4 linked regions of the Arabidopsis thaliana genome follow. The protein of the gene in region 2 interacts with the protein of the main gene of each other region in a pairwise test. Each region holds a gene or a part of one and is shown on either strand. Other genes may lie near its edges. The genes, in order: AGL21, WRKY9, AT3G11100 and BBX26.

Region 1 (10,031 bases), on a different chromosome or scaffold from region 2:
TTTCAAACCATTTGAAGGTTACAGAAACCGCAAATCCAATAAGCAACGTTAGTTCCATTCCGTGCCTCACCGTACCTGTTTCAAAGCAACAGCTAGTCCTGTGATAGTGTGGTTGTGTGGACCACCTTGAAGACCAGGGAAGACAGCTTGGTTGATCTTGTCTTCAAAATCATACAAAACCTTTCAAGACAACAAATGAATGACGTGAAAGATTATACATAAATCTAAAACATTTTGGTTCAAATTTTGCTTCTTTTTCTTTTTTACCTCTTTCCCTTGCTTGTTAATTTCCTTAACACCCTTTCTGAAGAAAATCATGGCTCCACGGGGTCCACGAAGTGACTTGTGAGTTGTGGTGGTTACAACATCAGCATAGTCGAACGGTGAAGGGATTACATTAGCAGCAACCAAACCACTGATGTGTGCCATATCTGCTAGCATTACAGCTTTTTGCTTGTTACAGACCTGGGAAAAGAGTTCGAATCAAAACTCACTACTGATTACAATAATCTGTTCTGTAGTTGGATATGAGACTGAAATTACCTTTCTGATGCGGGCATAGTCATACAATCTAGCATAAGCACTTGCACCAGCAACAATCAATTTTGGCCTGAAAAGAGTAGCACTTTTCTCCATCTGCAAATCAAAATTAAAGACTTATGTATTGTTATGAAGCGGGTTAGTTATAAGTTACTATGATTGCTTAATAGAAGAGTTAAGAACCTGATCGTAGTCGATGTAGCCAGTGCTCTCGTCCAATCTATAGGGCATTGTTTCAAAGAAGATAGACACAGCTGATATCTTCTTGGTGTCAGTCTGATGAGAAATAAGAAGAAAGAAACTGTTATTCATCAGAGTCAGAGAGTTCCGAAATGACATACAAAGTTAACTTGAAGGCACCTGATAACCATGAGAAAGATGACCACCATGAGGAAGATCAAGTGCCATGATTCTTTCATGAGGCTTTAACAATGCAGTGTACACATGGAAGTTGGCAGGAGATCCAGACAAAGGTTGAACATTCACTGTAAGATCCAGTCAAATAAGCCATCAAAGGACTAATCAGATTTCTTGTTTCTCATATACATGAAAGTAGTAATTTACCTCCCCACTTTTCAGGATCTAACCGGAAAGCTTCAAGAGCGCGCTTCTGGCATAAGGTTTCTGCCATGTCTATATACCTACAAAGCAAAAGGTACTTGAGATTTCAATTCTTATTACAGAGATTGGTCAAGCAATCATGTCCTGAAACTAAATGTGTCAGATTGAAAATTCCTGAACATACTCATTTCCTCCATAGTATCTGGCACCAGGATAGCCTTCACTGTATTTGTTAGTCATGACAGACCCAACAGCTTGCATCACCGACACAGATGTGAAGTTCTCAGATGGAATAAGTTCAAGTCCCTATAATAACACAAGCGTTACAAACATCAGCCTAACTTATAATAATCAATCAAGGAACAAGATTTAAGAGATAGTAATCTCAGAGACAAACTAACCTTCCATTGTCTAGCTTTCTCATGCTCAATAATGTCAGCAATCTCAGGATCAACCTCCTCTAAAGGTGCGTTAAGCTGTTTTGGCCACTGAAACGAACGTTTACAAAGACATAAGTTTCATTAGATTCAGTCACACCAAAAATAGAACTCCATACATCAATTTGAAACAGACATAGAACTTCAACAATCAAAACCATTGCTTCAACCACAAGGAAAACTATAAACAAACAAGAGATACAAAAAGGCGCTTAAACTCACAGTGACACGAGATCTTTCCTTCTCATCAACAGCTTCACTGGGCAAAGAAGACTGCAACGGAACAAACAGAAATCAGAAAAAAAAAAAAAAAAAATCGAAAATTTCCAATCCGATTATAAAATTCGGAGATAAAAGGAAGAAACTTTAGGGTTGTTACCATGTAACATGAAGTGGATCGAATAAGAGGACGAATGGGTTTGTCAATTGAAGAAGAAAGCCTTCGAAGAGCCATGGCCATCGCCATTTTTCGCTAAACCTCTCTCTATCTCTGGTTTGTGAAACCCTAGAAACAGATTTGAAACATGAACGAGAGAGAAGAGAGAACAAAAATAACAAAATTGGGTTTATCTTGTTTGAGAGAATTGTGGCCTCTGCTTTTGGCTGAGCTTTTGGTGGTTGCAGCAAATTTTCGAATTTTTTCCCTCTTTTTTTATTTATATTTTCTTCTGATTTTTATTTTATATTTGTTGTTTCTTTGTCGTTATCTCTCAGGTCCCTGTCTACACCAACCTTTGTGAATTGTGATGATTTGGTGACGACGATGATTTGTTTCCCTTTAAGACAGAACCTTTATTGGTTTCTGGTCAGTGCAGTCAACGATAACCGATTCAGTTATCACACATCAATTTAATTTATATAGTTTCCAAACCGGTTAGTTTGGGGGAATAAGATTAACAGAATTATGGTGAATTTACAAAATAAAACCAACAAAACAAAAAACTTAACAGAAAATGTTTATTTAACATTTTAGAATTACCAAGTGCATGGTTATATATATTAAACAAATTATTGATCTAAGAATATTGATATTTGAGAGAGTTTTGAGGATAATAATTCATATGATTTTTCTCTATTAATTGACGAATCTATGGTTATAAACAAGTACAATATTAATACTCAAGATGAGTATAACAACACCGGATTTTAATTATATATGCTTTAATTATATTTAGGATTGAAAATATGACTATGTTAGAAGAACCATGCTGCTTATCGTACGTGGCTTGGTGTATAGAGGTTTCCAGTTCAAGAACCTTATTCAAACCAAGGCCTTTGGAGTGTTCTTCAACATCATGGTATCTTCCAACTTCAATCTGTGAAAGTTTTTAACGAGTTACATAAAATATATAAAATGCCTAAATGGTGCATGCATGTTTGTGAAACATCAAGATCAATTAAAAAAGTTTACCTCTCTGTTATTCGTTTGCTCTTGGTGGAGTGTCATAATCGGAATGTTCAGGCTGGCTTAGTTGCAGCCGAATCTGAGTGTGTGATTCATCATCCGCAACAGCTACTTCACGGTGTGTAAACCCGTTTGTGTTTGCCATATAAGCCTGAAAGTCGAAGCCATATCACTTCGAAGCTCTTACTCCAAAGAAAATGGAGTTTTTGTAAAACATGATTTGTTACCTTCTTGTAGAGCTCCACATTTTCTTGATGAATCCGTTGTACTTTCCTAGATAAATCGAGGTTTTCCTGATGAATAAGATTCCTCTGCACCACGATCAACAAAAATCCCAAAATTAGAATTGTAACTTTTGGTAGGGGATATTTGTGTGTGTCAGTGTGTGTATATATATATCTCATCATAGTGACCTTTTGGCTTAGTTCTTGGATTTCTTGAGTCAACAGTTGTTCCTGTGAATCCGGAAAAGCAATCGTTCTATTGATTTCCGTTGTGTTCTATAGTCAATCTTTTGAGTAATACACTCCAAAGCATATAATAGAAGGTAGAGTATATGTATTTATGTACCTTTCTCATACGAATTCCACGCAAACTTATCTCAATTTGATTCTCAAGACTGTTTAGCTCGTTAACACTTAAACCATTTAGCTGTTCTCCCATCATTTGCCTGCTTCATAGCAAACATACCGCAATCCATAACTACAAGTTTCTTCATTTCCTTTACATGCCTTCTATATTTTGATCAAAGACTAATTCTTAATACAAAATGTTATAAAAGTTCAAGGCGATACCGATGATTTTCTTGCAAAGCATGCAGTTCTTGTCTTAGAACAGCAGCTTCTCTCTGCCAAAACTGTAACACACAACACAAATAACTCATCAAACTTTGAACAGCTCAGTAAACCAAAATCTCATTTCAAAAATCAAACATCATGCTAAAGCATCAATCAATATATAATCACATATCTTTAGAGTTGTCGCTATATCTATATGTATACCTTGACTTCTGATGCGGGGTTCAATAGTTGTTGTTGCTCGATCTTGCTCTTGTTGTATCTATCAATAACCGACTTCATGCTATTCAAAATATTTAATATTAGTATACCTTGTTCATGGTATATAATTCACTCATATCATATCATCTCTTAGAGTAAATTACGTAAAAGATATTAATTTTCGATCGTGAAGTTTTTCCAAGTACTCCATTAAAAAGCTTTCATACGTAAAGAAAAAACTCATAGCCTAGAAATTTGTGCAATATAGACTTTCCTGCATTGGCAACATTATTTACACACGCTTATATATGTACACATACATACATTTCACATAATGTATATAATCTTGAACTCAGCAGTAATACGAATTTGTTACACAAACTAGATAAACTATATATAAAGTAAGTAGATGTTAGTTTCTTTTTTCAATAAGTAACAAAAACAAATGCTTAAATGTTATTTCTAGGGTGTAGATAAGCAAGAACTTTAAAGGAATCCAGTTCTAAGCTATAAACAAAATGACATAAATGTAATGCATTAGCATGGCACACTTTATTTTAAATCCAAGCAAACAATAACATGGTGTTAGTTAGTTTTAAGAATGGTATATAAACTTGACTAAATATGCTAAGTAATTTCATTTACCAAGAGGTTCGTAAACCCTATGATACATGAGAAATGTTATCAAAAGACAAACGTGAAGAATTAATAATGCTTAAGGTTGATGCTAATATAAAATTCCTCAAGGAAAATAGGGAAAAACAAAAATTCGCATTACCATACTCTTTTATTTGGTTGTTTTAATTGATAAATATGAAATTATATAAATTTTCAAAATATATAATCAAAATATTATATGATTTAGAATTACATGTTTATATATGTTTTCTAATAATTAGTTTTTTATCTCTATATTTTTTTTATATTAATCAAACTTTTAACAAAGAATAACTTACTCAGAAAATAGACAATTATAACGATTTTGCAGATATAAAGTTAAATATACAGAGTAATCTGATCGTTTAGTAATAATATATATGATTATATATAAATATCAAAAACATGTTTATGTTTACGAGTATAAATAGATCATTTTGTTAGTGGGTTAAACTAAATCAGCTTCCAGTTTATTGGATTTGAGAAATTAAGTCCTCTACATACCAATCTTCTAACTCGTGGTCTCCAATTATAATTCTTTTTTAGCTTTCCAATAGTGATGTTTGGGCATTCACACTTGTTTTCTCATCTATTTCTGAAACATATCTAAATTTGGAAAATGCAAACAATGAGCCTTAGTTAGTTATAAGTCAATGTCCATACACATAAACATATGTTAGGAAAGTACTTCAAAACATACTGATGATGGGTACATATAATCACCCAAATATGAAGCAAAGAAACTACTTCAAATTATTTTTTCAGCTTCAAAAATATTACTCTTCTTTAAAACTTCTACCTCATTTTTAATCTTTCTTTGTTGTAAGAAAACTGTTTGTCGGCTATACAAGACACATCTTATTGTACATACGGGAAAATTAATGTAACATGTTCTACGGACCGCCAGATGCGAAAAAATTCCACTATATTTGAATAGATCCCACAGCTACATATATCTCAGTGAATATCACCAAGCCTTCTAATAAACAAAACCGTAGCATAAAATTATATGCATACAGTGGTACACAACATCTCCGTAGATGTACATCCACAAAATCAAGAAGATATAAAGATTTCAGAATGAATAATTTTAAAAGAAGAACCTGGAGCTTGCAAAGTCATAGAGCTTTCCGGTGCTAGAGAAGATGATGAGACCGACCTCGGCATCACAGAGAATAGCTAGCTCTTTGGCTTTCTTGATAAGGCCCTTTCTTCGTTTGGAGAAAGTGACTTGTCTACTCGTTGAATCATCGATCCTTTGGATCACAATCTTCCCTCTTCCCATCAATTTTATCCTCTAATTGAATCTCCTCTGGTTCTTCTCTTTTTTAGGGTTTTTTTTTTTGTAGATCTTACCAAGCCCAAAAGGGAAGGGAATATGAAGATGAACGAATAAGGAGAAAGAGAAAGGTAGAAATAGAGAGAGAGGAAGGTTGAGCCAAGAGTCAACAATCTATTCGAGGAATAAACTAAGTATATATATGCATATGCACACACACACATACACACTCACCTCTCAGTTTGAGACATTTTTGGGTAGATTTAATACATAGAAAAGTACTAAATTTCTAGTCCAAAATTAGTATTTGTGTGTATGATTTTATCAAACCAATGAAATAGAGAGAAGTTCTTATAAAGTTCCTAGGTTAAGAGAATATATAGATATAGCTTAAATGTGTGTCATATATACAACTTTAATCACTGATTCTTTTTTATAGTTTGTTTATTACGGGAGATAGTGGAAACTTAATGGAATTGTTTAGATAAAAAGGAGTGAAATAATATTAAACTTAGTGTGAGTTAGGTAAATTTCCATTATCAATAATATTTCCTTTTTAACATGTCCGTACATTATTTATAATTTATTCTTAAGTCTTATTTCAAATGTCATGTGAAAATAGTGAATGGGCGCATCACAGGACTGTGTTTCTCTGACAAAACCCTCTTGCTTTATATGCTGCTTTACTTAATTTAATTAGTATCTTTTAGAGGTGATTAAAAGAAAATTAAAAATATTCTGGCCCTTTATTATGGTCATAGGAAAACTTATACTATATTAATTAGATCTGTCCAAAAGATATTTACCCAAAAAAGTAAGAGAATGGATTGAACAAAAACATACAGTATTAATCTAGTACAACATATATTAGTCCATATGGCTTTCGGTAGAAATACAAATGAATAAATTATTTTTGTGTCAATTAATAAATGATTTTAAACGATATCAAGTACACGTGTCAGACAGGGACTTGGAGTTGCGGAGATTCATCATATTAATTGTTTTGTCGTAAGTTTCCAAATATGGCAAGAAATTTAATATCAAATAACTATATAACGTCTGTTACTTTCGATGGCTTAATGCTTGATTTCTACTCAAAGCAACTCGCGTTCAATATCATAATGAAATGAGCTATACAAAATTTTCACTTATATATAGAATATTTTCACTCAGAAGGCCATATATATATAAACCGTAACTTATATTTCAAGCTTATGCATATTGCAAATATACAATCTAAAATGTAATATGCATTTGTGACAGGCACACGTGGGAGAAGCAGGAACAGCTCCTGAGAACACCAATTGATGGAAGTCTTCGCACGCTCCACCGCAGAATCCGTACACCTGATCCTTCATTACTAACTATTTTTGTGTGTTTATTTTAGTTTCTTTGAATGTCTAAACTTTAACTTTGACCAACCCTCAAACTTGCCATAAATCACCACCCCTAGCGCGAATGTATCCATCAATTGAATTTGATTTAAAAGTAGCAAATGTCCTTTAAACCGAACTAAACCAAGCTCAAACCCTAATAACCAAGTTCGATTTTATACCGTTGATGTATAAGATTTAGGTGGGCCCCAGATAGATAACATGATAATTAAAGATCTATTAAGACCACGTGGGCTGGACTGCTTCGAACCAATCACATCTCGAATCTCAAACTCAAATTCAGATTTGGCTCTTTTTCTATTAACAAAGAATCTTAAAGTTGCTTCCAACTTCCAAGTGACCAAATCCCCAATTATCGTCCTCTTAAGATAAAAGATTCAGTCTCATTCACGCCAGGTGTCAATCATCAGCGAATCATTTCGATTTTACCAATTATAATCATTATTATCTTTAGTTCGACGGGTTTATACCACTCTTTCTTTTACGTTTCAAGCCTATTGTCTACGTTTTCCATATTTTTCAAGTCTAAAACATAAACAATCTAGAATTATCACAATCTTTGTTTATTTTGGTTCTTAAAACCCCTTTAACAATATTTGTTTTGTGTAATTGTGTGTGTTTATCTTTGCTGTGTATATATATAAGACCTATTTCTTAAGAAATGTTTTGTAATGACTAAACCAAATATCTAACACATGTATAGAATCTGTAATCCATAAGAGCTAGTTACCAAAGAGTAATAGGTTTCACAGATGACCTATTTCTTTACCAAATTAAATTGCTTACTATAGAGTTTAAATAATACACCCATACTACTGACTATCTGTTGTTCAAGTAGCAGATTTATATTACAGACACCTATTGTTATAAATATAGAATATAGTTTTTCAGGTGATTCTTGGAACTTTACACCAACAAAGCATGTTAAGTATATAATTAATGCTATATTTTAGATTTAACTTTTCATCATGCGTTTATGTCCAATTAGTTTAGTCAAGAACAGAGATTATATTCCCATTTGAATACCGTAATGTTTCATTATTCTTCATAATTAGTCTCCATTATTCTTCATAAGTAGTCGTCTACCATTTGACAAAAAAATATGTTAAGTGAAAATGTATAATAGATATTGGTTCTATAAAGTATAGTTTTTTTTTTTCTGGTTGGTGCTATAGAATTCACGTGAGAGGGTAATCAGAGTGGTAGTGTGAATGATAATAAACCTTGTTTAGATTATTGATCAGACCAAGAAAAGGAGATAAGGTGGTGTCCCTTTTGATGTTTTAAAACTTAAATCCCACATATTGGGTCCATAAAGTTTATAATTTAAACATGTTCTCAGATTTCCGAAGATAATAATAATTTTAGTATGTAACTGCAAAGGTCGAGTTTAAAAGATGGCCTTGGAACTTGAAGACTGGTGGAAATTGTACTAAATGTTCCAAAGTTGTGGCCATTATTTCATTTTTAGTGTATACCTCTGATAGTAATTAATTTAAGATTCGATACTATACCAAAGATAACTAAAAATAATAAAGAGAAATTATGGTGTATTGGTTTTATAAATTGCTAAAAATGATAGTTCTTTTATTGGAGTTATAAGAAACTAGCTTTCTTATTTTTCGACAAACATACTTACGAGAAGGAGACGCATACGCGAGAGAAGAAGAAAAAAACCACAGCAAAAGTCATTGGGTATATGTCAGTGGTCCTTTGCCGTATATGTTTTCTCCTCCAATATCGTTGCAGTCTTGATAACTTTGTGCGTTTAAAACGCTAATTAAAGTTAACAATACAAGCTTAGGATTTAATTTTGGTTTTTGGATATAGGATTTTGATATTATATTTTAATTAAATTTCTTACGGTTTAATAGAAAAAAAGCGGTCACTGAAAATGAAGAATATGAGCACGAAAAATTTATAGAAGTTTTGAAATTCCTTTATTAAAATTCCTAGAATTTTTTTACTAAAAAAAAAAAAAAAAAAATCAGACCAAGCGTCACACACACTGAACCAACGTATCAATAGGTAATTGTTGTTAGCTTTAATATATAATAAACCATAGTCAATAATGTGCATTTAATAAACAAAGCAGTCGAGATCAACGGTAACACTAGTTGAAAATGTCATCATAGCTCACTATATTTTGAATTTTCATTTTTATATAATGATTCATTTTTCGTTACATGTAGTTCTTAAAGTAATCCGGGGGATATCAGAGCATGATTTAAAGCGGTAGTGTGTTGCATAATTGGGGTATAGCTAAAAAAGGAATTGACCATTAATTTTACTAAAGAGTGGCCAAAATTTATTTGCCATTTACAATCAAATAATTTAATTATAAGATCCATTATTCGTTACAATAGATGCCCTCTATATTATGCGTATGTATGTACGAATCTAATTTTATTGATATTTGCAAAGATGTTTATGGACTTGTGCCATGATTCGATGATCAGTTCGTAAGACCTTCCTTATTATTCTGATGGCCCAAACCAGAAGCCCACTAAACAAAGAGTTTTTTTTTTTTTTTTTTTGACCGCGAACCATTATATAACGAGGCTTAAACCATTAGATTCAGATTCTACTAGTACTGACGTCTCCATTAATTGATCAAACATTTGGTAACTTCTTCCTACATTAGAGGCGTTTATTGGTTCATGGATTTTAATGGATTTAAATATTTTCTAAAAAGTTTTAAAATTATGCGGATTTTATTTATTTAAAATCAAATTAAATGGATTTGAAAATCATACAACA
Region 2 (8,122 bases):
GCCTGAGTTGTATCAATATTGAGTTCTTGAGATGAGAATAGTGAGCATAACAGTCTTTGAGTTTTGAACAAAATCTTCTCTTCTCTTATATACTGAATCATTTCTTACTTTTACCTTTTGTCTTCGTCTGTTGATGTACTGACTTTGTTTTGCATAGAGAAAGAGAAGAAAATCAGAAGAATTAAACTGTGGAAGAAGAGCAAGTTCTAGCAAGGTATATTGGAAATTCTTGCCATTTGTTCAATTTTGATGAGTGACTTTTTTGTAAGTTCGATTGAAAGATGATGCTAGGATTGAGATTGAATATCTTTTGATTAATTTAGGTTTTTGTACTAAAAGATTTATATTTCTTCAGGGCAAGCAGGTGGAATCGTCGTCTAAGTCAAGCATTCCCTCTGTTTTGCCTCATAACATGGCTTCATATCCTTTCTCAGGGCCATCTACAAGCACCAGTAAACAAATTACGTCTGAAGGTTAACATCTATCTTTATCTGAGAGATTTCCACCTGAATTTGCTAACTCCAGGTCTTTTTTTTCATTGACATGCACACATTAACATCATATTTTGTTTTCAAAAGGAGGCAATACGTTTTGATGTATGTATTATGGTGCAAATGTCGTTTAAGTATGTATTTTGTTATATAAATAAGTTCATAGGGGATTAGTGTATTTCAGCTAGACTTTTAGCTTCTTGGGACGATGCTAACATAACTACGTCTCTAAAGTAGTTTAGTCTTGGAAGAAGCCTTTACCCATAGATACTGAAATTGGTTTCTTAACTGCATTGTCCTTCTCTAGAGGTGCATTCTTGAGATTATTTATTTCATACATCTAGTAAAGGAGTATAATGACTATTGTATGTTTAAATGGTGAAATTCTATTTAAGTCCGCTCTCTGATCCTATTACCTTGTAAAGATGATCCTTTAAGCTCTCTTTCATATGAAGTTTTGTTGAAGTCACAATAATCTTTAGTCTCTTTTCTTTTCTTACTGATTCTTTCGTGGTTCTGTTTCAGATTTAAGTAGCTATGCAACAAATCTTATAGAACAGAATGTACGAGCTTTTAGTCAAATTAGAGCTAATCTCTCCTCATATAAGGTAAGTTCTAGATTACCTTGTTTAAAGGAATGCAAATGTGTTCTTGCTAAAACCGCTCCGTAATGATAATTGCAAACAGGCAGGGGATAACCTAGATCTCTTTCGTCAGGCAAGGAACAACCTTATCACCATCCAAAATGAGTAAGTTGATACTTTAAACATTTTGTGTATAAGTTTTGTGGAGCTTAGTGACCAGACGTTGTCTTGATTTGGCAGGATAAATAATATGCCTGGATTGATGAACAAGATGCCACCATTGCCAGTCACAATCAATGATGATCTCTCGGTGAGTAATACTACTTTAGTAAGTTAATAGGCTGCTCACTTTTGCATTAACAGTCCATTGTTTTAGATATCAAAATGTCCACATCACCCATTTGCTTGTTTTACCTCAGACACTACCGTAGTTCAAACCCCATATCTCTGGTTCAAGTGCTCAAAATATAGAATTATTGTGCTTCTAACTAGCTGAGTATCTTAAGACCAGTTTTTCAATGTTTTGGTTTGTAGAAATGTCTATCAAGAGCAAATAGAGCAGAAGAATAATAGCTTCCCAATATCAATGACTTTGGTTTCCTCGATTTGTACCAGGTGATGATGCCATTCAATACGATGCAAAGTGGCGGCTTCCATAGGAAGTAGAAGTCTTAGGAAATCATCTGGTTTCCCTTAGTTACCTGTAAATTATCCTAAAGAAGCTGGAGGAGGTAAAAAAAAGCTCATCAAATGTTGGGAAGTTTGTAGAAATGTGATTCTTTCGTAACACCAACGATCTTTATTGCTGCGCGGGATGTTGAAACAAGACATAATATAACGAATGTAGGGGTTCTTGGTCCTGGCTCCTAACTAAAAAACCTTCTTAACAAGTTCTATTAGATAAACTTAGTTCAATTAGTGTCTTGGAGAATTTCTAAGCGATCGATGTGTATAAAAAAAGATTCTATTGAAGAGCGTGTTGAGATTTGCATCTTTAATCTTTTGATCTTTTGGTGTGTTGTTTTGGTACCCATTTTTTCTTAGCATTAATCAATCTTTATTTTTCATAAGCCAACATTGAACGAAATAAAACAATCCGAAACCTTCGATGTTGTATATACGAAACATAAATGTTAGAAACGAGAACAAGAAGAAAGGCAAAGAATCCATAATGACAAATAATGGGACCAAAGAACAAGCATAGAGATATAGGAAACTCTACATCATCCAATTTAATCGGTTTTGAGAAGATGAAACGTGATCTCCTCTAGATGGACCATCAAAGTTCAAGCTTCTTATGGTTCGATTGTTGTAGCTGCTATTTTGTGGGTATGTAATCAAAGAAGAGTCTATGGCTTGAGGAGTTTGGTAATAGGAAGGATGAGAGAGGTTGTCACTGGAATCGAGTAACAAGAATGGAGAAGTAGAGGCAGTGGAAGCCATGGCTGTTGCTCCGACCGGAAGTGGATGGTTATGTGTTCCTTCGTAGGTTGTTATCAGTATTGACATGTCTTCTAAACACCTTTGCACCTTCACAATGTAACAAATCTCATTATCAACTATATATATATACATAGTTTCATTCCATTCAAATGTGGTTATGACATGCTATGAATTCTACATTGGACATAAAGTAATATATAAAGTACATAGACGAATCAACTCATTACCAATTCGTTTTGAGTTGGAAGATCTATAAAATACTACGTTATCAGTAAATTGATCAAAATGGTTCCCTAACATAAAATCTTATCTTTGAATAAATAAATAGTAAGACCCCGGAATTTGAGGGTGTGTGCAGTTACCTGTTTTCTAACGGGACATCCTGGAGCCACGGTGCATCGGTAATAAGCTCGAGGACATGGATTCCCTTTCGCGGTTTTCTGACCGTACTTCCTCCATTGGCATCCATCATTCATCTACACACACACACATCTTTCTTATTAAATGATCATGTTACCAATCTCCAAACTGAGTCCAAGATATGATATAAAGAAACTCACTGTTGCGGTCTCACATCTCGCCCTCACGGACACCCTGGCCTTTCTATTACCTTGAGAAGATGAAATGATACGTGGCATATTCATATCTAAGCTGCTACTATTGTATCTTTGGTGATGAGACTGAACAGCTTCTTTGCTCTCTTCTTGTTTCTGTTTTTTCTCTAGAGAAAGTGAAAGCCCTATTTCTCTTTCCATTGACGGAGATCTCTCAGCTCCTCTTTTCCGAGCCTTACTTGTTATATCCACACATCGTTTGCCTTGTACTCCAAGGAACATTTCAAGATCCTAGGTTAAAACATCAATCAAGTTTCATATTAATTATCACCAGTCACCACTATGTATAACGTGTATGAAGAAATAATTTCTCACCATCTTCTTGGTTTTATCGATAACCGGGAATTTCATCTCAAGATGACGATAATCTTCAAGAGTCTGCTCGACAAGCTTCCTCAACCTAGTATTCTCTTCTTTCACACTTTCCATCTGGATCTGTAGCTGCAAGAGCTGATCGCCATCCATAGATGTTAACATATATTCGCACATAAAATGTTTTGATGTATGTATATATACGCATGTAGGTACCTCTTCACGTTCGTTTTCTTCTTCTCGGGTTCTTAAACCTAAAGAAGAAGAATCATCTTCGTCTTCTTTCACCATTTGTTCATCTTCATCACCACTAGCATCATGTTCTTCGTCTTCTTTGTTCTCACGGCTATGTTTCGATCCTTCTATCTCTTTCTTTTTCTCCTCGGCCTCGAGCTTAAGAGAAAGATCGATGCCCATTAATGGAGATGCAAATCGAACCTCTATTCTTTTTTGTCTTTTAGCTTTGGATTTTGAAGTGCTAAAGTCAAATCCCATTTTCTGATCAGAATATCGTTTACTATTTGTATTATTCACTCTAGTACGCATCTAAAGCTAGCTTTGACTTTGTTTAAATAATTAGTTTTATCTTTATGAAGAAACTAATCCATGTTACTTAATAAAGAGCTTAGTTTTGGCCTTTGAAGCAATTAAACCGGAGTTACTATGGAATCATGACTTTGGTTACCATCCTAGTAGTCATAAAAAAGTGTATACATATATTCCTCCCCTTCTCTTATATAGTTTGTTTATTAAGTGACAATAAGATAATTAGATCCGGTTTCTTTGAAAATTGTATTACATTGTTTAGTTTTGTAAATCCAGTTTATGGCCGGCATTAGGGTCTGCGAAATTTCCCATCACATTCACATGGATGGTACCATGTGAAATACAGAAGACCATCGAACGTGTAGATATTTTTTTTAAACTTGTCACTGATGTGTTTATAGCTAGATGAATTCATCTCTTCGAATAAGGTAGAGTTATAAAGATTGAATACTGAATAAAGAAAAAGATGGGTGAGATCAAACGCACCATTAAACTTTTTATTTACTCAATTCAACATCATAGATAGGTCTATAAATCAAAACATTCAAAAATTCATAATGAGTAAGAATATTCTAGAATATGGCGCTGTCTATATATTTTGAATTTTCCTATTAAAGTTGTTTTGAAAATTTCAATAGATATCTTCTTAAAGTCAAATTGGTGTTATGAGATCATAAATATATATGAGAAAGAAAAAAGAAAGAATTAACTGATTCTATATTTAGATTGTATCAAATAATATAAGTTTTATTGTTAGTTTGGTTGAACAATCTCACAAAATTTCTTGATCTCAAGGATTCATCTTTAAGAGAAGGATAACTAATTTCATTTATCCCATTAGTACTAGGCTACTAGCTAACCTAAAATATTCTTTCTATGATTTCGATGTACATACAGGTTATGTTGATAGAATATGTGTGACATATGTGAAGTCCGGATTTTGGATTCTTTTAAGCGTTATGTGATTTATTTAAGCAATAAACTATGGTTTACAAACTTGACATGTACACAAAAATAAAAGAAACTTGACATGTCTCTTTTTTTCTTTTTTCTTTTAGTTAGTGTGCTTTTAAGAAGATGTCTATATGTGATATCTTATTTATTTTTATTATAATCACTAACGTGAAATTCAAATTAGCAATTAATAATTCGTACCAAAAATACCGAGAACAAGATACTTGCCTCGGGATCGGATCTAAAAATAGTCAACTAGAAGACTTTTAATTTTTATTATTTTCATACTAACTGTCCTTTTATTAACTTAATTTCTTTCTTGCCAAAAACTTTATCAACAAAATTATCAGCTCTGTACTAATATTATTACCGAGACAACCGTTTGAAATTGTCTATCTATTAAGAGTATTTACATTAGTAGATCTAATCCTATATAAAATCGTTATCTTAAATCGAATTAGCATACAATATAAGGTTACTTGCAAATCATGTAAGATTATCCACATATACTTTTCGTACAGTACTTTTTTTTTATAAGTATCCATTTTATTCAGAGTTGATTACGGATACAAAAAAAAGAGGTTAATCCGTAGAAATCAAATTGGATAATGAATGTTTCACAATTGTATAAAATCTATAGTCAAAACACACAATGTTGCAGTATCATCGAATGACTATCAATATGAGGAGTTACTATATTATTAGAGTACCAAAAAGTTTATAGACTTAAGATTAACATTTCAACAACAAATCAAGCTTATGGACTTTGGATTAACATTTCAACACAACAATATGATGATCCGTCTTTACACGGGAAAGCATGTGTCAAAAGAATATGCATGTGTTTTGTTTTACTTATCTTACCAAAAAAGAACTTTTTGCTGATTTTAGATATAGAAAAATATAGCATATAGTAATATAGTGGAAAACTAAAACATTTGACAGAGGAGACGTGGGACAAGAGAGCAAGCGGCGCCGCAGCCATATCTCTCGTTCAAATTTTATAATTACAATTAAGAAAAGGTCAAATGCATTTCCCATTGTCTCTTTGTATCTCTTTGTGTCACTAAGTCAACCTTTAATTGAAATCCTCCATATATTGATCTGTCCAATATCAAATTTTAACTATGGATAAGTATATGTCTAATTCGTGGCCAGGCCCATTAGGGACTTTTAGAGGGCCTTTAAAACAATAAGCACGCGCGTCAGTCTTACGTATTGTAAGGACGCGTGGACGTTTTACTTGACGTGAAGGAAAGAGAAACTCCGATACCAGAGCTTGGTGGAGCAGTGGAGACGCTTCCACGCGAATCTCGCAGTCCCACTCGTCTTCCTCCTTCCCTCTCTTCCTTTGAATACCTTACCTCTCTCGGTCTCGCTCCCTCCCTCGATTCAAGCCTATTCGTCTTCTTACGCTGTGTCTTGAAACCCTAATCTTTTTCATTTCAATCCCTAAAGGTGAAGTCTTTATTGCGTGTTCGTCTTCTCTGTCTTCGTTTCTACTCTTATTCGTCTAATTTGCGATCTGGGTTAGTGTTTTTTTCTTACGGATTTTAGTGGGTCCGTGTTAGATTATCGAGATATTGATGTAATTCGAACTTGTGCGCCGCTGGAAAAACTGAATTTTGTGTAGCTATGACTTTTCCGATTTCTGGTTAGGTTCATGAGTCATTGAAAATTTGTTGAATTGTATAATTGAACTTGTCAGAATCCATCTGTGTATTCTTATGTTTTTGAATTCTAGGGTTATCGAGAGCATTTCGTTCTTTCTTATACATTTATGCTAACATTTTTATATAAATTTCTATGGATCTGAGATGTGTCAAAGGTCTTTGTTCCATGTGGATTAGATTAGATTCTAAGGTTTCTCCTTTGTTTGTTTAATAATTGATTCACTGTCATGTCGCGTGAGTTGTTCTGTGAAGCATGTTCCTTTTGGTTGTCTTGTAACATGTCTGCACATCTTTTGTTATTTTTTTATTTTCTTTTATGTAATCTTATTAACTGTATTTGATTTGATGCGAGACTTTGTCTCACCAGTTTTTATTCTTGGTATCTCTATACATTGATTCTCCATCTGTTTGCTTTCCATAACTTGTCGATTTGGTTTTGTCATTGTGTTAGTTATCTTGTGAGTTTGAATCACTTTTCTAGGCTTCCAAGCTAGTGAGGTACATTACTTCGTTTGTTTGATCTCTTTTCGTTTCGGTATGAGTTCCTTGATTTGATTTAAGTTTCATAGATTAGCATTGTTTGTTGATCATGCAATTCCAGGGATGTATGAATTCAACATGTTTATTCGAACCTCCCTCTTTGTTTGCTATGAGGTTGTGAAATATCTTTTATAGATGCATATGTAAAGCATTATCATGAAATAGTTCCCAAATCAGAGTGTGGGATGCTACTACTAATCATGTTGTATGCTGAATGGTGAACTGGAAAAATATATGTAGTTTCCATGAAGAGATATCTACTTGTATTGTTACAAACTTTTATGTGGAGTTCTTTTGCTAATTTGATGAGGATTTGTACAGGTGTGATTTTGAGATTATGGCCAAAGCTAGGAAGGCAGGACGTAGGGTTCCTTCACGACGCTTCAGGGCAAGAGCAAAACCATACAAATTTCCATCTTCTAAAAGACTTGTGGCGAGAAACATGTTTGCGGAAGATTGTTCAAAGTGTCTAGAGAAGAGGGATTGGGAGAATGTTATATGTTCGGTTTGCATGGAGTGTCCACACAACGCTGTCCTTCTTCTCTGCTCATCTCATGACAAGGGATGTCGTCCTTACATGTGTGGAACCAGTTTCCGGTATTCTAATTGCTTAGATCAGTACAAGAAAGCGTCAGCTAAGCTGAAGACATCGGGCCATCAACAGATCAATAAGTCTGAGCTTGGAAATCTCACATGCCCACTTTGTAGAGGACAGGTGAAAGGTTGGACAATCGTACAGCCTGCTCGTGACTTTTTGAATCTTAAGAAGAGGATCTGTATGCAGGAGAACTGTGTTTATGCTGGAACCTTCAAAGAGCTGAGGAAACACATGAAAGTGGACCACCCTAGTGCGAAGCCGCGTGAAGTGGATCCTGATGTGGAGCAGAATTGGAGAAGGCTTGAGATCGAGCATGACCGGGACGATGTTATGAGCACGATTAGGTCGACAATGCCTGGTACAGTGG
Region 3 (7,997 bases), on a different chromosome or scaffold from region 2:
GAAGGGGACGGTGGTGATGGTGGTGGGCTTCTCATTCTCTCACTTTTCTTGTCAAATGTCTTGTCTTCTCCATTTCCACACTCCAATTTTTATATGCTACCTGTGATTTTATTTATTTTATTATTTGACTTTCTTTTGCTTAAGCTATGTATAATCTACAATAAGAACCACAAAAAGTGATATAAGCTCAGTTCTATATTGGTGCCCACTTTGTAAGAAATTTCCTCTTCAATTTGGAGCAAAGTGAAAGCTATTTTGTATTTTGCTTGATTGACTTGTTTCCACTAATCCAAAAGTCTTGCTTCTCTTGTTTCTTCTTCTATAAAAGAGAAAATTAGCTGATGTGTTGTTACTTTAACTCTCTCTATCTCTATAGTACCTTTGATTTTTCAATATATGATTATGATTTATGGACTCGAACTCACGACCAATCATGTAATTAGCAAGGAAAAGCTCAAAGCCAACACAAATGATGAATAGGCCCATGCCTTGTCCCATTTGTTTCCTTCTCTCTATTACTTTCAAAAACACTCTTCTTCACAAAAAGTTAAAAGACTCTTATCAATATATAAAGGAAGCACGAGATAAAACTTAGAAAAAACGAGAGCCTAACATTTACCACCAAAAAATCAAAACAAACAAACAAAAAGTTTGAGATGAGAGGGCATGAGCCACGATCAAGCTCATCTTGTGCAGCCTGCAAGCTCTTGAAGAGACGATGCACACCCACTTGCATTTTCGCTCCTTATTTCCGCTCAAGTGACTTGATAACTTTCGCCAAAGTCCATAAAGTCTTTGGAGCCAGCAACGTCAGTAAGCTTCTCGGTGAAGTTCCTGAAGAACAGAGACAAGAAACCGTTAACTCCTTGGCTTATGAAGCTGAGGTTCGTCTCAAGGATCCTGTTTACGGTTGCATTGGAGCCATAGCGTCTCTGCAGAAGAAGATGCTCGAGCTTCAACACGATCTAGCTGTTGCTCGCACTCGACTACTTGCCCATTCTGGGGTCAACAACAGCCAAGTGTCCCCTTTGGATGATTCTCCTGAGCTTGCTGCTTTTCTTGATCTTGTACCTTATAGTGACTTGATGTTGCTTGATGGGTCTACTAATCTTGATGCTTACTTGTATGATCTTGGACAGCCTCCTTTTGTATAGGCCTTATCTCTCTATCATATATCTCTTTATCAGCTGTATTTGCACTTTGCTTTACAAGTTATCTTTGACAATCTAAAGTCTGTCCCTAATGTATGAATTCCAGTATGCATAATCAGATGCTTACTTCATCATATGTATGAAAAAGGGTTTTAACTTCAAAAGTAACCATCACATGCGATGAGATAACTCAGGTACAAGATGAGCCTTGGAAGGTCAGAGTCCTTACCAGTTTTGGACCAAGTGGTAGGCCAAGGTGAGTAAAGTGAGGTGTTTTAGATGAAGAGCTTCTTTGTAAGTCAGGTATGAATAGGAGAGCACATGCTTATGTCATCCCGAAATTCTACCAAACATGAAACATTGATATATATGCTTCTATGATGTTCTTTTTTGAGGCTCCAATAATACAGCCTCATGTGTCAACTCGTCTCCCTCAGGCCACAAGAGTCTTGTCCTGGAGATTCCAGAGTGCAGCAAAGTCACATAAGCAAACATCCAAATCAATAGCTTGGTGGGTTTGATCAAATTCCAAACTGAATTATGAATGACTCTGATAAGAGTTCTCCTCAGAACCGTTCTACGCATCTTGTTAAGTCTGTACACATTCCTGAAACCTGCCTAAGCAAAAGAGTAATTGCAGATCACAGAAAGAGAGATGAGCACAATTTGGAACTGCAGACACTGATACACAAACCATCATACATTGATACTTCACAAAAGTACATCTTGATATGTCAGATACTATGAGAGTTCTTTTGGTAATTCGCATTGCTACTACCAATGTAACTCTACAATGCTAAAAAAGAGAATGAAAAAGAAGAAGAAGAAAAAAAGCATCGCGCTATAACTTAAGAAAACCTAAAGATCAATAATAATAACATCTTCTCCAAATCGTATGAGCTTTAGATCCAACCATTGCTCCTTGCTTCACATCAGTAACTCCTCCACAATCTACAATCCTACAACTTCTTACCTATACAACAAACAAAGCACAACTGAAGTTTCAGTAAACTCATCAATCACAACAAAACACACATAAAAATGAAAACTTTACCTGAAGCAGCTCTTCGTTTCCCAAGTTTAGATTTCTCAAGCTCCAATTGCATCTCCATCAACATATTCATTCGTTGTAACTCAAGCTCCTTTGCAACTTCCATTCTCTGTTTCTCCAATTCAATCATCATCTGTTGCTTCTTCCCCTCGATTCTCTCAAACGCTTCCCCTAACTTCAGAATCGATCTCGCTAGCTCCCTAAAGGCTGATCCTTCACTCGAATCTACATCTTCAACTTTACGATGCTTCCTCACCACAAATCCCCAATCACCCGCATCATCATCATCTTCTTCGTCGTCATCATCATCATCATCATCGTCATCGAGAGAGCTACCAGTTGATTTAGATCCAGTAGGATTCAAATTAGGGTTCATCAACGCCGATTTAACAACAGCACCGGACGATTTCTTCATAACCGGACCGATTAAGAAATCGAGTCTATCAAAGAAGCACCAATTCGATAAAGGTTTCGCCTTTTCAGTTTTGTACTTCTTCTTCAACGTATCGATCCGGTTTTTGCACTGTACATCGGTCTTTGGCCGGCCATTCCCGTGGCTTGAATTGACGGCGTCGGCGACTTCTTTCCAATCGTTTTGCCGGAGATTTCCCCGGTTGAGATTGACGTAACGATCTCCCCAAGCTTCGATCAATGTCGCCGTAGCGTCTTCGCTCCACCAATCCTCTCTTCCCGCCGGTAGACGGTGAGTCTTCGACTGAGTCTCCGGCGTCGTCTCCATCTCGGAGTGGGAAAGAGAGGAGGCTAACGTGCGCGGTGGAGAAAGAGGCTTAGGATAAGAATTTCTGTTGGATCGGATTTTTGGTAAAGTTAAAAGAGAAATTACGGTTAAAGGAGAGATTTTTGATTACCGGCGGTGACGTCAGCAACGGCGATTATCTTCTTTCTCCTACCTCTCTCTTTTTCCTCTGCTAACCGAATCAATCACACTCATTTCTGAAAAACCGGTTATCGAAAACGGTTATCGAAAACCGGTTTAATCATAAATTGAGAGTCCTACTAACTAGGCTACTACTAGTTATAGTCAATTTCAAGCTTCTTTTAATGCGTTTCTACGGGTAATGATGATAAGATTACATTATTAAACTCATAGACTGATTGATAATAACGATTAGGGCTAGAATCTCATCAGTTCATGTCATTATAGGAAATCTTATAACGTGTATTTTTGTGTATTCTAGGAAAGACAGTAAATATGAGGTTGTATTAGTTTTGGTAGTGGTTTTTAAAAGTCATAATTGGAAAGAAAGAAATGTTATCAGAATATTAAGAAAATTTATACGTTTTGTGTATTCCAGTAACAAGATCATTTACGTTACGCCGTAACAAATTGAAGTTTGGAAGTGAAAAATGGTGGGATGTAATTAAGGAAATAGGTAAGCAGGCGAATTGTTAGGTAATAAGAGAGAGCATCGCAAACGTGTTAGGTCGTAGACTCTATGTCTATAATGTATGTTTCGTGCCGTGTCTTGTCTAATTGTCTTTTTGCTGTCTCGCCAATTGATATGTTAGTCCATGCCTAACTACTACTGTTTCCTCATAACTACTAAAATGTCGCTGAAATATTTGAAAAAAGAGCTGAGGTGTTTTTTCTGTCGATCAAAGTTTCCACGATGGTCTTGGTGAAGAGCTAGTAGAAATAAGCATATAGTTAGTGATGTTAACTTGGGCATTGAATAGCCATTTGTTAAATGGGTATGTGCAAAAAAAAATAACCCATTTAAACCCATTTAGAGAAAAATATCAAATGGGGTTAAATGGGTTACCCCAATTAAACCTATTTAATAAATGGGTTTACCCACAAACAAATGGGTACCCATTTATGTTTTATTTTATATTAGTTATTTTTATTAAAAAGTAGATAACTTAATTATAACTAAAATAAAGAGCAAAATACTAAATATATTTAAAACAAAACGTAAAATCACGTTTTTCCGCTAAAACCCATAAAATTACGTTTTCCCACCAAAATCACGTTTTTTACCAAAATCGAAAATCACATTTTCCCACCAAAATCGTAAACCGACGTTTTTCCGCCAAAATCGTAAAATCACGTTTTCCCGCCAAAACTGTAAAATGACGTTTTCCCACCAAAATTGAAAATCACGTATTTTCGCCAAACCCGTAAAATCACGTTTACCCGCCAAAATCGTAAAATCACGTTTTCCCGCCAAAATCGTAAAATCACGTTTTCCCGCCAAAACCGTAAAATCACGTTTTCCCGCCAAAATCACAAAAAGTGTTTTCCGCCAAAACCGTAAAATCACGTATTTCCGCCAAAACCGTAAACGACATTTTCCCGTAAAACCGTAAAATCAAGTTTTCCCGCCAAAATCACAAAAAAAAATATTTTTTGCCAAATTTGAAAATATTATTATCATTATATGTTATTGAAATCTATATTTTAGTAAATTATAAATATTTCAGATTTAGCTAATGTTTATGGACTGTTGTTATTTATCTATTAAGTTTATGAATTAATTAATAAAAGGCAATATCTCACTTAATTGGTTTAAATGGGTTCACATGGATTTACTAAATTTAAATGGGTAGGGTTAAATGGGTTTCAAAAATAAATGGATTTATATGAGTTTAAAGTTAAATGGAGTGGGTTTAAATGGGATGGGTTTAATTGGGGTGGGTTAGCCCATATTAACATCACTACATATAGTTTTCTAAACTAAATATGTCATTATCATCATTTACTGGTTTACATGCATCTTTTATACATTTCAAACTTTCTTATGAAAACGCAGATGTGAAAAGATAAATCATGATTTACAGGTTATCAAAGTGATGTGAGTTGGAACGTAAAACAATTTAGTTTGTCAACTGAATCTTAGACGCAATCGATTATTGTTACTCTTAAATCACTTTACAATAATATCAAATATCACATCCTGCAGCCAAGTAATCGAGCTAATCCATGATCAAGTATAGGTGGTGAAGCAACTAAAAATGTAGCCAATTTCGTTTGTACGCATAATTAAACAATGCTATTTATTTTAGTATGTTGCTACTTGCCAGTTGCTACCATTGGGATCTCGAAAACACACAAACGTACGTGCATGTTGCCTAATATAGTCTTTATTATTGTTCCTAAACTAATTAAGACAAATTAAAACAATATATAAAGTAACAAAAAAAAATCCCACTTTCCTTCAAACTTGAGTCTTGCTTGTACAGACAGTTGTACTACTTGTGGAAGCTGTTTAACTCAAATTAATATTCTCTTTCTGTTATTTTATTTAAGGAAATACAATCACGTGACTGAGATTAGCACTAGTATACTATATATATACATCACGACGCTGTTTTTATACATACTATATATCAACGGCCAGAATTAAGTAAGTAACCATCCATCGCCAACCGGAAAATGACGTCATCTTCACCGTCTCCACAAGCCTCGATGCTTTTGTACTGGCACGAGAATCAATACGACGACCGGAACTTCCAGATTCATGGCCGGACACTCTTCTTCGCCTTAGCTTTATTCTCCGTCGTGCTCTTCTTCGCACTACTCACTCTCTACATCCACCGGAACTGCCTCCCCCGGGATTCTATCAATCTCCACGCGTCCTCTCCCGATCGACTCACGCGTTGCCGTAGCGGAGGGCTTGATCCGGCGGAGATTCGGAGCTTGCCGGTGGTGCTTTGCCGGAGAGAAAGGGCGGAGGAGGAGGAGGAGAAGGAGTGTTGTATATGTCTAGGTGGTTTCGAAGAAGGAGAGAAGATGAAAGTGCTTCCTCCGTGTAGCCATTGTTACCACTGCGAATGTGTGGATCGGTGGCTTAAAACCGAGTCGAGTTGTCCGCTCTGCCGAGTCTCCATCCGTGTCGACTCGTCAAGCTAATGAGACAGCTAGAGTGATAGTGATTAAGATATGAATTTGTTTTTTTTTTTTGTAATTGTGTGGGTAAAGATTTATACATATACTTGTGTATTGCATGGACATGGATGGAGGATGATGTTTACACACACACGAATGGTTATGGTTTTTTCTAAAAGGATTTAATTTTCATATTCTGTCTTTATCATTGATTGTGAAGTTTTTATAATCACTTCATCTGTATTTTAAACATACGATGATAGACATTTTTGTGTAGATGTTTATAAGGGTAAATGGACTTATTAATTCAGGTAAATAACTAAATGATAAAACAATGATATGTTCATATTTGATACAGTTACATGTAAAATTCTGTGCTATATTTCTGTATAAATAACATGCTATTTTTTTCTAAATCCATTATTTCAATAAAATAAAAGTATTCGTTACAATTTAGAAAGGCACAAAACATGTTACAATTTAGAAAGTCATCGGTATGGGCTTTATTGGGCATAAAATTAGTATCGATCGGCCCAATATTTGGAAAAAGAGGAAACGAGTGTCTAGGGTTTTGCTGTCATATAAAGAAGCAAAATGAGTGGAAGCAACAAAATCTTTCTGAATTGGCGGCCGCTCATTTTCCTGAAATTTGCATAGAATCAGAGGAGTGAAGAGTTTATCTTCTGTGAATTCACCATGAGGGCTAAGGTGAGAAATGGGCTTGTATATGTTTTCTATTATGAATTTTCTCTAATACGGAATAATAGTTGGTAATACGGAATGATGGTGTTTTTGGGGTTGTAACAGTGGAAGAAGAAGCGTATGAGGAGATTAAAGAGGAAGAGACGAAAGATGAGACAGCGATCTAAGTAGATTTTCGAACAAACCTGGTTTTGTGTTTTGCTTTCGTTGTTAAATCCAACTCTGTTTTGAGTTTCAGTTTGAATGTTTCGTTGGACCAAATTAATATGGAAGTTATGTTTTCTATTATATATCTTACAAATGTTGATGTTCTACTATTCTCTGAATTATAATTTTGAGATTAGATTTGGGTGATTGCTTCAGATGTTGATGATTGGAGGGAATATATAGCTATGGATGCTTTAGAAGTTGATCATAGGAACAAAGTGAATATGCTTGTAGTTGTCTTATTTGATTCCTGGAATAGAGTCTAGTTGGCCCCTTACGGTACCAATGCAGTCCAGTAGTTAGCTTTGCTTTACGTCCGATAGTGGATCTGGTATGAAGGATCTCTGATTCAATCCCCCAAAACGAATGGGCACTCGCATTCAAACTTTGGAAATTATTGGTCAACCCATGTTCCACTCGAGATCAATTCTCTAGTTCAGTAGGAGAAAGTGATTTTAATTCATTGTTAATCGATAGTCGTTTACAGAGAAAATGAATGAGATTTAAGTAAAAGCAAGCTAGTCTTTAACAAAGGACTAATAACGAAGCCCATAAGGCCCATAATTAAAAGCCGGCTAGGCTCATTTTACACGAATCAGAGCTACTAATCCCAAAGTATCTTTATACATTACATGTCGCATACCACTAAGAACGAAATATTTTGGGAAACTAGACTGTAAATTATTATTATTTGGCAAGAGAACTATGTTTTCAAAGTGTGGTCAATACTTAGATTATTTGATATAGGAATTAGGATAGAAACATTTTGGTTACGAGATAGCGTTTTCGAATATTATCAAGTGGTGATGATTCATCAGACACTGTATTTTGAAATTTATCGAAGCAAGAACAAGAGGAAGTTTGTCGTACGAAAAAACATAACTCAAAAAGGTTTAAATGAAGTGAAGATAAGCTGAAAGAAAGAAGGAAAGAACAACTCATATGAAAAAAGGTCAAAGAGTAAAATGATAAAGACTATAAAGGAGTCTCCTCTCCTCCAAAGGAAAATATTTAAATGACCTCAATCAAAAATGAC
Region 4 (6,633 bases), 3.3 Mb from region 2:
GATGAATATGGAGGATGGGTCAACAATATGATGATGTAGGCTAAGAAAAAACAACATTAATTAAATCTCTTTTACAGATTTTCTAGGACAGTATTATGTGAAACTAAATTTGGTGTTATTTGGCATTGTAGCAAAGACTTCACTGCTTATGTAGATGTTTGTTTCAGAGAGTTTGGGAACTATGTCAAATTCTGGACCACTATCAATGAGGCTAATGTATTTACTATTGGAGGTTACAACGATGGGGATACACCGCCTGGTCGTTGTTCTTTACCGGGCAAAAACTGCTTGTTAGGGAACTCTTCTACTGAAACATATATTGTAGGCCATAACTTACTTCTTGCGCACGCCTCTGCTTCAAGACTATATAAGCAAAAGTACAAGGTATACTTGCTTATACATAACCCTCTTTTGAATGTATAAGAAGCAACATACTATATACAATGTGCAGGATAAGCAGGGTGGTTCCATAGGCTTTGGCTTATATTTAATGGGGTTGACTCCTTCTACAAGCTCCAAGGATGATGCCATTGCAACTCAAAGAGCCAAAGATTTCTATTTCGGTTGGTGAGTCAGGCACAAACAGTTCTAAAAGGTTTTTCAAATTGGGCAACATGTGCAAGATCTTAAGCTGAAAAGAAAGAAAATCTGCTCTTTAAAACTCAGGTTCCTTGGACCTCTTATATTTGGAGACTATCCAGATACAATGAAAAGAACCATTGGATCAAGACTGCCAGTTTTCTCAGAGGAAGAATCAGAACAAGTTAAAGGCTCATCTGACTTCATAGGAATCAATCATTAGTTTGCGGCTTCTGTCACAAACATCAAATTCAAACCTTCTATTTCTGGAAACCCGGACTTCTACTCAGACATGGGCGCATATGTGACTTGTATGAATCAGACTCATTCTTTTGTATAACAAAAAAAAAACCTCTTTTATCTTTATAATTTGTTACTACTCATTTTTTCTTCGTTTTACTGGTTAGAAGACCTTGGGAATTTTTCAGTTATAGAGGTAAGAGTTTTAAGGCTACCAAATTCAGATACAAAACACCTTATATTCCTTGACATTATAAGTCTTTAAACAAATAAGTGCTACTAATCTATCTTTCATTGTTTGTTTTGTTTTTGTTTGGACAAGTATCCTGTTGCTCCGTGGACTATGGAAGCTGTCCTAGAGTATATAAAGCAGAGCTATGACAATCCTCCTGTCTACATTCTTGAGAATGGTCAATCTCTTCTATGATTAATTTATTCGTCTCTCCCTCATGTTTTTGATTTGGACTTAAAATGTCATATACAAACAGGTACACCGATGACGCAACACAAGGATACACATAGGGTGGAATACATGAATGCTTACATTGGTGGTGTGCTCAAATCCATAAGGTAAGTAAAGTTTTTTTATTGCATCTTTTCTTCTCTTATCTTGTTCGTGTAATTAAGGAAAAGGACATTGCTACGTGTAGGAATGGATCAGACACTAGAGGCTATTTTGTATGGTCATTTATGGATTTATTCGAGCTTATAGGGCGGTACGATTATGGTTATGGATTGTACTCTGTAAATTTCAGTGATCCACATCGCAAGAGATCTCCTAGACTCTCTGCTCATTGGTACTCTGATTTTCTCAAGGGCAAAACTTCTTTTCTTGATTCCAAAGGCATCAAGGAATTGCAGAGCAACTTCTCTTCTTCCTCTTAGTACTGTGATGAAATAACTCTTATGTTCTACTGAATTTAGACTACTTGTCATGAGAGCCACTTCTTTTTTTCTATAAATTCTAAATTAAACTAGTTTAGTAACTTTACACGACAAAATAATGAGAAATCACAGATGCTGAATACAAGAATTGCCCGTTTTTAAATGCTAAAAAGAAATTCGTACCCAGGCCTAAGCATGACATCAAGTTCAAGCTAGCATTGTATCAAAAAACCATATTACAGAACCATACAAACACTTGAATAGTTAGTAACTCTTAGCAAAGTTGTTTTTTACACAAAAGCATGCTAATCCGCATCAAAAAAGAGACACAAAAGAGCAGCTTCAAATTCATATACCATCCATTGTTAAGGCTGCATTTCCACATTAAAAAGAACAAAAGCGCAGCTTCCTACCTACATGTGAAAATCATAACAAAGACTGATCAGAAACTTAAGTATGTAAGTACTAAGCTAACAATCTAAACTCTAAAGCAAAATAGTTATACAAAAAAAAAAAACTCATTAATTTACCTGTTTGTCCCCCGTTTGGTTATGTTGATAAAGTTGGGATATTTTTTTCTTCAAAAAAAAAAGATTTCTACATCAAAATTTAAGAAACGACATTATTCTTACTGATCTTTAAGATCCGATAAAAGGAAAAAAAAAAACTTTATTCTTAACAAAAAAATGAGAAACAAGGATCAATTTTTCAAATATCATATAATTATCTTTTTTCTTTCTTATTCTCAATTAATAAATGTAATGTTGAATTTTGAGAATAATTTATAGTTAAAGATAAGTATATAACTTAGTAAAATATATCCTTCTACATAATCAGTTTGTTAAAAAAAAATCTACAAATTAGAAACTCCATCTAAATACGAGCTTCACAGATTGTTTCACAGAGAAAACAAAACTTTGGCTTCCTTCTCTCCTTGGTTCGTGTAAGTTGAATGTTTTTTTTTATTTTAAATTCGTGTTTCTTCTCTTCCGTTTTGCGAAGTTGATAATTTTGTTATAATCTTATATGAATATTTTTCAGGAAACATGGCTCAAGTTTGTCACACATGTAGACATGTAACAGCCGTGATCCATTGTGTTACAGAAGCTCTTAACTTCTGCCTTACATGTGACAACCTTCGCCATCATAATAACATACATGCAGAACACGTACGTTACCAACTTTGCGATAACTGCTCGATGTATCCGTCTATACTTTTCTGTTATGAGGACGGGATGGTTCTTTGTCAATCATGTTATTCGCACCATTACAATTGTGCCACTAATGGCCATCAAACTCAAGTCGTCTTCGCTAACATGAATAATCAACACCATGATCATGCACATATGCCTCATGTGGTTCACCATAACAATAACAATAATCATCAGCAGCAGCATGTGGGTGGTCACCAAAGAAGAGCAGAGATGTTTGAGAGGAGCTGCCACGGGGATAACAATTGCGAGAGATGGATGTTTGCAATGAGATGTGAGTTATGCGTAGCTTCGAATTCAAATGCTGTTGTTTATTGTCCTACACACAACCAGATTCTATGCGATAGTTGCGACCGGATGATTCACAGTCACGAGGACGCGGTGCCGCCGCATTCGAGGTGTAAGCTTTGCGTAATCTGCAAGAGACCTTCTCGCCGTTTTCTCATTGGCGGCTATCAGTTTAATTTCCCACCGGTTCATCCTCCTGCGGCAGAGGGGATTCCAGTTACGCCCCCAACAGAACTACCTCAACAAGATATTAATTATGATTATCTAGATGATGTTGATGATTTTTCTTGGTTTGGTAGGTGAATAGAAAATCGTCTTCTTTAGCTTTTTATTTATGTGTGTTTCTTAGAGTTTTCGTTAGGGGTTTAATTCTTGGTGTTATAATTGCTTCTGGATTTGAAAAAGAAAAGAAGAAGAAAAAAAAAACAATCAGTTGGATTTAATATGTTAGAAGAAAATAAAATGTCAAAACTAACTCCAATTTGTTCGAGGATGGAAGATATCATATCTTGATGTATGTATATCTCATCATTTAACTAGAAACTATCTAGAAACCACAATTACCGAAAAAACATAAAACAATTTTGCTAAAATGTTAAGAACACAAATTAATTTGATTAACAATCGATGCTTAAGGGGTTTATAGGAATTAAATAATATTTTTTTTTCAACAATAAAATTAAATTTCACTTTGCGATTTTAATTTTATTTAAGAAAGTCAAGAACCAACTCCAATATTTCCGGGGATGTGATTTTCTCAATAAAATCGTCTAATTATCTTGATTTTTGATGTTGTTGTTGTACTTTACGTGAATATCTCACAATTAGTAAGCAGAGTAGAAGATTTTGATTAGTATGACGACAAAAAATAGTACAAATAAAATTTACATGACCTTTTTTGTGTTAAAAAAAGTTACATGATGTTCTGCAAGAAAATATGCTTGTATAATAAATAATTTTTATTAATATTTTATTTCTGACTATTTTCTTCAATAAGAGAAAACATAGTCATTTTGTAAAAGGAAAGAACGAAATAAAAATGCAAATTCTTCACGTTTTGTTAAATAGATCTAATTTAGTTCTTATTTAAGAACTTAATATTACATCTTTAAACCAAAGTAAAATATACAAATATTGACAACTATCGGTCTAATTATTTCAATAAGCAAAGATTATAGAATAATTTCGTTAAGTGTATATATCGAAGAGAAAAAAACAAAGGACAAATCGGTCAATTCACTAATTTGATATAAACGGTACCAACAGATGACGAAGCGCCTCTCTATATATAGAGTACCTTCTTTCCCAAGAAACACTATCATCTTCATATTTTACATCTTCCGTTTCTTGTTTCTCTCCCTTCATCAATCATCATCAGCATTTTCCTTAAATCTTCTTCTTCTAAGAGATCTTAGTTTCACTGAAGAACGAAGATGATGAAGTCAAGACGTGAACAATCAATCGAAGAAGCAATCGTCGCAAATTATTTGAAGATGATGATCGATAACGTAAACGTTTGGCCTCGCCACTTCCTCCGAAGCGAAGACGTGTACTGCAAGAATCCGTGGACGCTTTTCGTTACTAGAGATCCTATAATCCTACACTTCGGACGATACTTCTTCGTTAATCGGAGTGTGAATTCAGGTTTAACCGATGGATGTGAATACGGTTGTTGGAGAATCATCGGTCGTGATAGAGTGATCAAGTCGGTGACGACCGGGAAGATTCTAGGGTTAAAGAAGGTTTATAAGTTCTGTGAAACTGATCGGAAACCGAAATCGGTTTTTAAGTTCTTGGAAAAGGAGAAGAGAAGAGTAAGAGATAGACGAATCTGGGCGATGGAAGAGTATAGGTTTGCAAGTACGTGGAAACAAGATTACGTGATCTGCAAGATTCGACGTCTGTATCCACAACCATTTGACTACATGTTGGCCCAGCACATTCGAGGTTACTATAAATGAATCACTGATATTCTGATCCTGGATTTGAACACTCGATTACTGTTTTTGGTGTCACGTTATTGAACCCGTTGTTTGGGAATTTTCATGTATTCTCATTATCCAGTTTCTTGATTTCTCTCATTCATCTTTGTTCAATCTTTTTGTTTGTTTGGGGCAAATCGTCTCTGTACAATCTTTATGTTACTAGAATTGAAAAGAAAGATTGGTGGAATCGTTTTAAAACTGTGGCATCTTTAAGTGTTATTTTTGGTTATGCAATTGCGTTGATTTTGTAAAGAAATATTTAGATGTAGGGTGATTGGTCGGTGGATTTGTTATCGAGTTCCAAATTTGGAATTCTTCTAAGATTAGATTTCTCTATCCAAAGGCATAATTTTCTTTTATACATTGATACTATTGCTAATTTGCTCTCAAACATGATTCTCAATTGACCTAACAAAAAATATATATACAGTACTAAATGTAGACATTACCTACGATTAAATAATTTTATTGTTGCGTTTACACAAAAAAAAAATTGTTGTTGCTATCTTAAATATACTGCAATATTCCAAATTTAGTTTGCGAAAAAAGGAGATATCACAAAATGATAAATAAATCAAAGTGTAATCAAAGACTTCAAAAATAGATTTCATTGTACATTTGAAACATAAGCAAAAAATACATTTTCTTGATATACTCAACTAAAATTCTACAATGTCTTAACTCTCAATAACTGTTTATAATCTTAAGTTAAATGCTTCTATTTACAAAACGAAAACGATAAGTAGAAAATTCCATCAAATAATGAATCTTCAAAAAAAATATACACCATGAAAAAGTAAAGAAAGATTCACAAATAAAAAATGGTTTCTGATAAGTCTACAAAAGTAGCTTTAATATCACCCATATCGAAGTTAAATTTCTATTACGTACGAAATGCAATGTGTATATTTTGAGTATATACAAAAATGGTTCATGTACTTTTATGAAAATTGAAAACTAGCTGGGTGTTATACAAAAAAAAAAAAAAGAGCAATTTTGTGTCTAAATATTAAAGGGATAATAAAAATTCAATTTTGTGATTGGTCGTATGTCGACGACAATGAGGCGTCTTGGAATCATCACTCTCACCAATTCCGCCGCCGTCGTCACTCCGTCGCTACTCTCTTCAACGGCAGCTTTCCCCGGAACCCTAACTTTACCCTCTCCCCTCCTCAGCGACCGTCTTACCAATTCAATTCTCTTTCACGAATCCAGAAGCCTCTCCTTCTCTTGCTTCTCTTCTTCTTCTTCTTCTTCAGCAGCTTATCTTCCTTCACTAGAAGAGTACCCATCAGCTAAAGGTGACTACTTTTGTTTAACCACTGTTTCAACTTCGGATTTTGAGTTAAAGTTTGCTGAGGAATGTAGTAATTATCTATCTTTAAGGTTCTGTGAAGAGAGATGATAACCAGAAGGTGGTCTTGAAGGGTATGACTTATGCTTCG

Evidence for each region.
Region 1: the proteins of WRKY9 (region 2) and AGL21 interact in a two-hybrid assay, tested with the Arabidopsis thaliana proteins (one large-scale study listed by BioGRID).
Region 3: the proteins of WRKY9 (region 2) and AT3G11100 interact in a two-hybrid assay, tested with the Arabidopsis thaliana proteins (one large-scale study listed by BioGRID).
Region 4: the proteins of WRKY9 (region 2) and BBX26 interact in a two-hybrid assay, tested with the Arabidopsis thaliana proteins (one large-scale study listed by BioGRID).

Annotation. Positions count from the first base shown.
Region 1 is NC_003075.7:17,832,739-17,842,769, forward strand, and holds AGL21 (AGAMOUS-like 21), read right to left. Parts: upstream 6,232-10,031; 5' UTR 5,884-6,231; coding exon 5,702-5,883; intron 4,847-5,701; exon of another isoform or gene 4,024-4,846; coding exon 3,945-4,023; intron 3,800-3,944; coding exon 3,738-3,799; intron 3,614-3,737; coding exon 3,514-3,613; intron 3,424-3,513; coding exon of another isoform or gene 3,399-3,423; coding exon 3,357-3,398; intron 3,255-3,356; coding exon 3,171-3,254; intron 3,095-3,170; coding exon 2,957-3,094; 3' UTR 2,950-2,956; intron 2,855-2,949; 3' UTR 2,479-2,854; downstream 1-2,478. Other genes in the region: SHM1 (serine transhydroxymethyltransferase 1), read right to left, coding at 76-180, 268-465, 544-636, 724-816, 901-1,025, 1,105-1,181, 1,286-1,407, 1,503-1,589 and 2 more. UniProt on the Arabidopsis thaliana protein: Probable transcription factor.
Region 2 is NC_003070.9:25,539,787-25,547,908, reverse strand, and holds WRKY9 (WRKY DNA-binding protein 9), read right to left. Parts: upstream 3,961-8,122; 5' UTR 3,940-3,960; coding exon 3,661-3,939; intron 3,583-3,660; coding exon 3,448-3,582; intron 3,364-3,447; coding exon 3,079-3,363; intron 2,995-3,078; coding exon 2,881-2,994; intron 2,606-2,880; coding exon 2,294-2,605; 3' UTR 2,118-2,293; downstream 1-2,117. Other genes in the region: AT1G68160 (ZZ-type zinc finger protein, putative (DUF3755)), read left to right, coding at 158-214, 356-473, 1,017-1,099, 1,179-1,240, 1,316-1,385, 1,691-1,741; AT1G68140 (zinc finger/BTB domain protein, putative (DUF1644)), read left to right, coding at 7,495-8,122. UniProt on the Arabidopsis thaliana protein: Transcription factor. Interacts specifically with the W box (5'-(T)TGAC[CT]-3'), a frequently occurring elicitor-responsive cis-acting element.
Region 3 is NC_003074.8:3,474,380-3,482,376, forward strand, and holds AT3G11100 (sequence-specific DNA binding transcription factor), read right to left. Parts: upstream 3,522-7,997; 5' UTR 2,942-3,521; coding exon 2,206-2,941; intron 2,125-2,205; coding exon 2,111-2,124; 3' UTR 1,808-2,110; downstream 1-1,807. Other genes in the region: LBD21 (LOB domain-containing protein 21), read left to right, coding at 657-1,154; AT3G11110 (RING/U-box superfamily protein), read left to right, coding at 5,600-6,076; AT3G11120 (Ribosomal protein L41 family), read left to right, coding at 6,749-6,760, 6,860-6,925.
Region 4 is NC_003070.9:22,213,950-22,220,582, reverse strand, and holds BBX26 (B-box zinc finger family protein), read left to right. Parts: upstream 1-2,750; coding exon 2,751-3,506; downstream 3,507-6,633. Other genes in the region: AT1G60240 (NAC (No Apical Meristem) domain transcriptional regulator superfamily protein), read left to right, coding at 4,637-5,164; AT1G60230 (Radical SAM superfamily protein), read left to right, coding at 6,237-6,489, 6,575-6,633.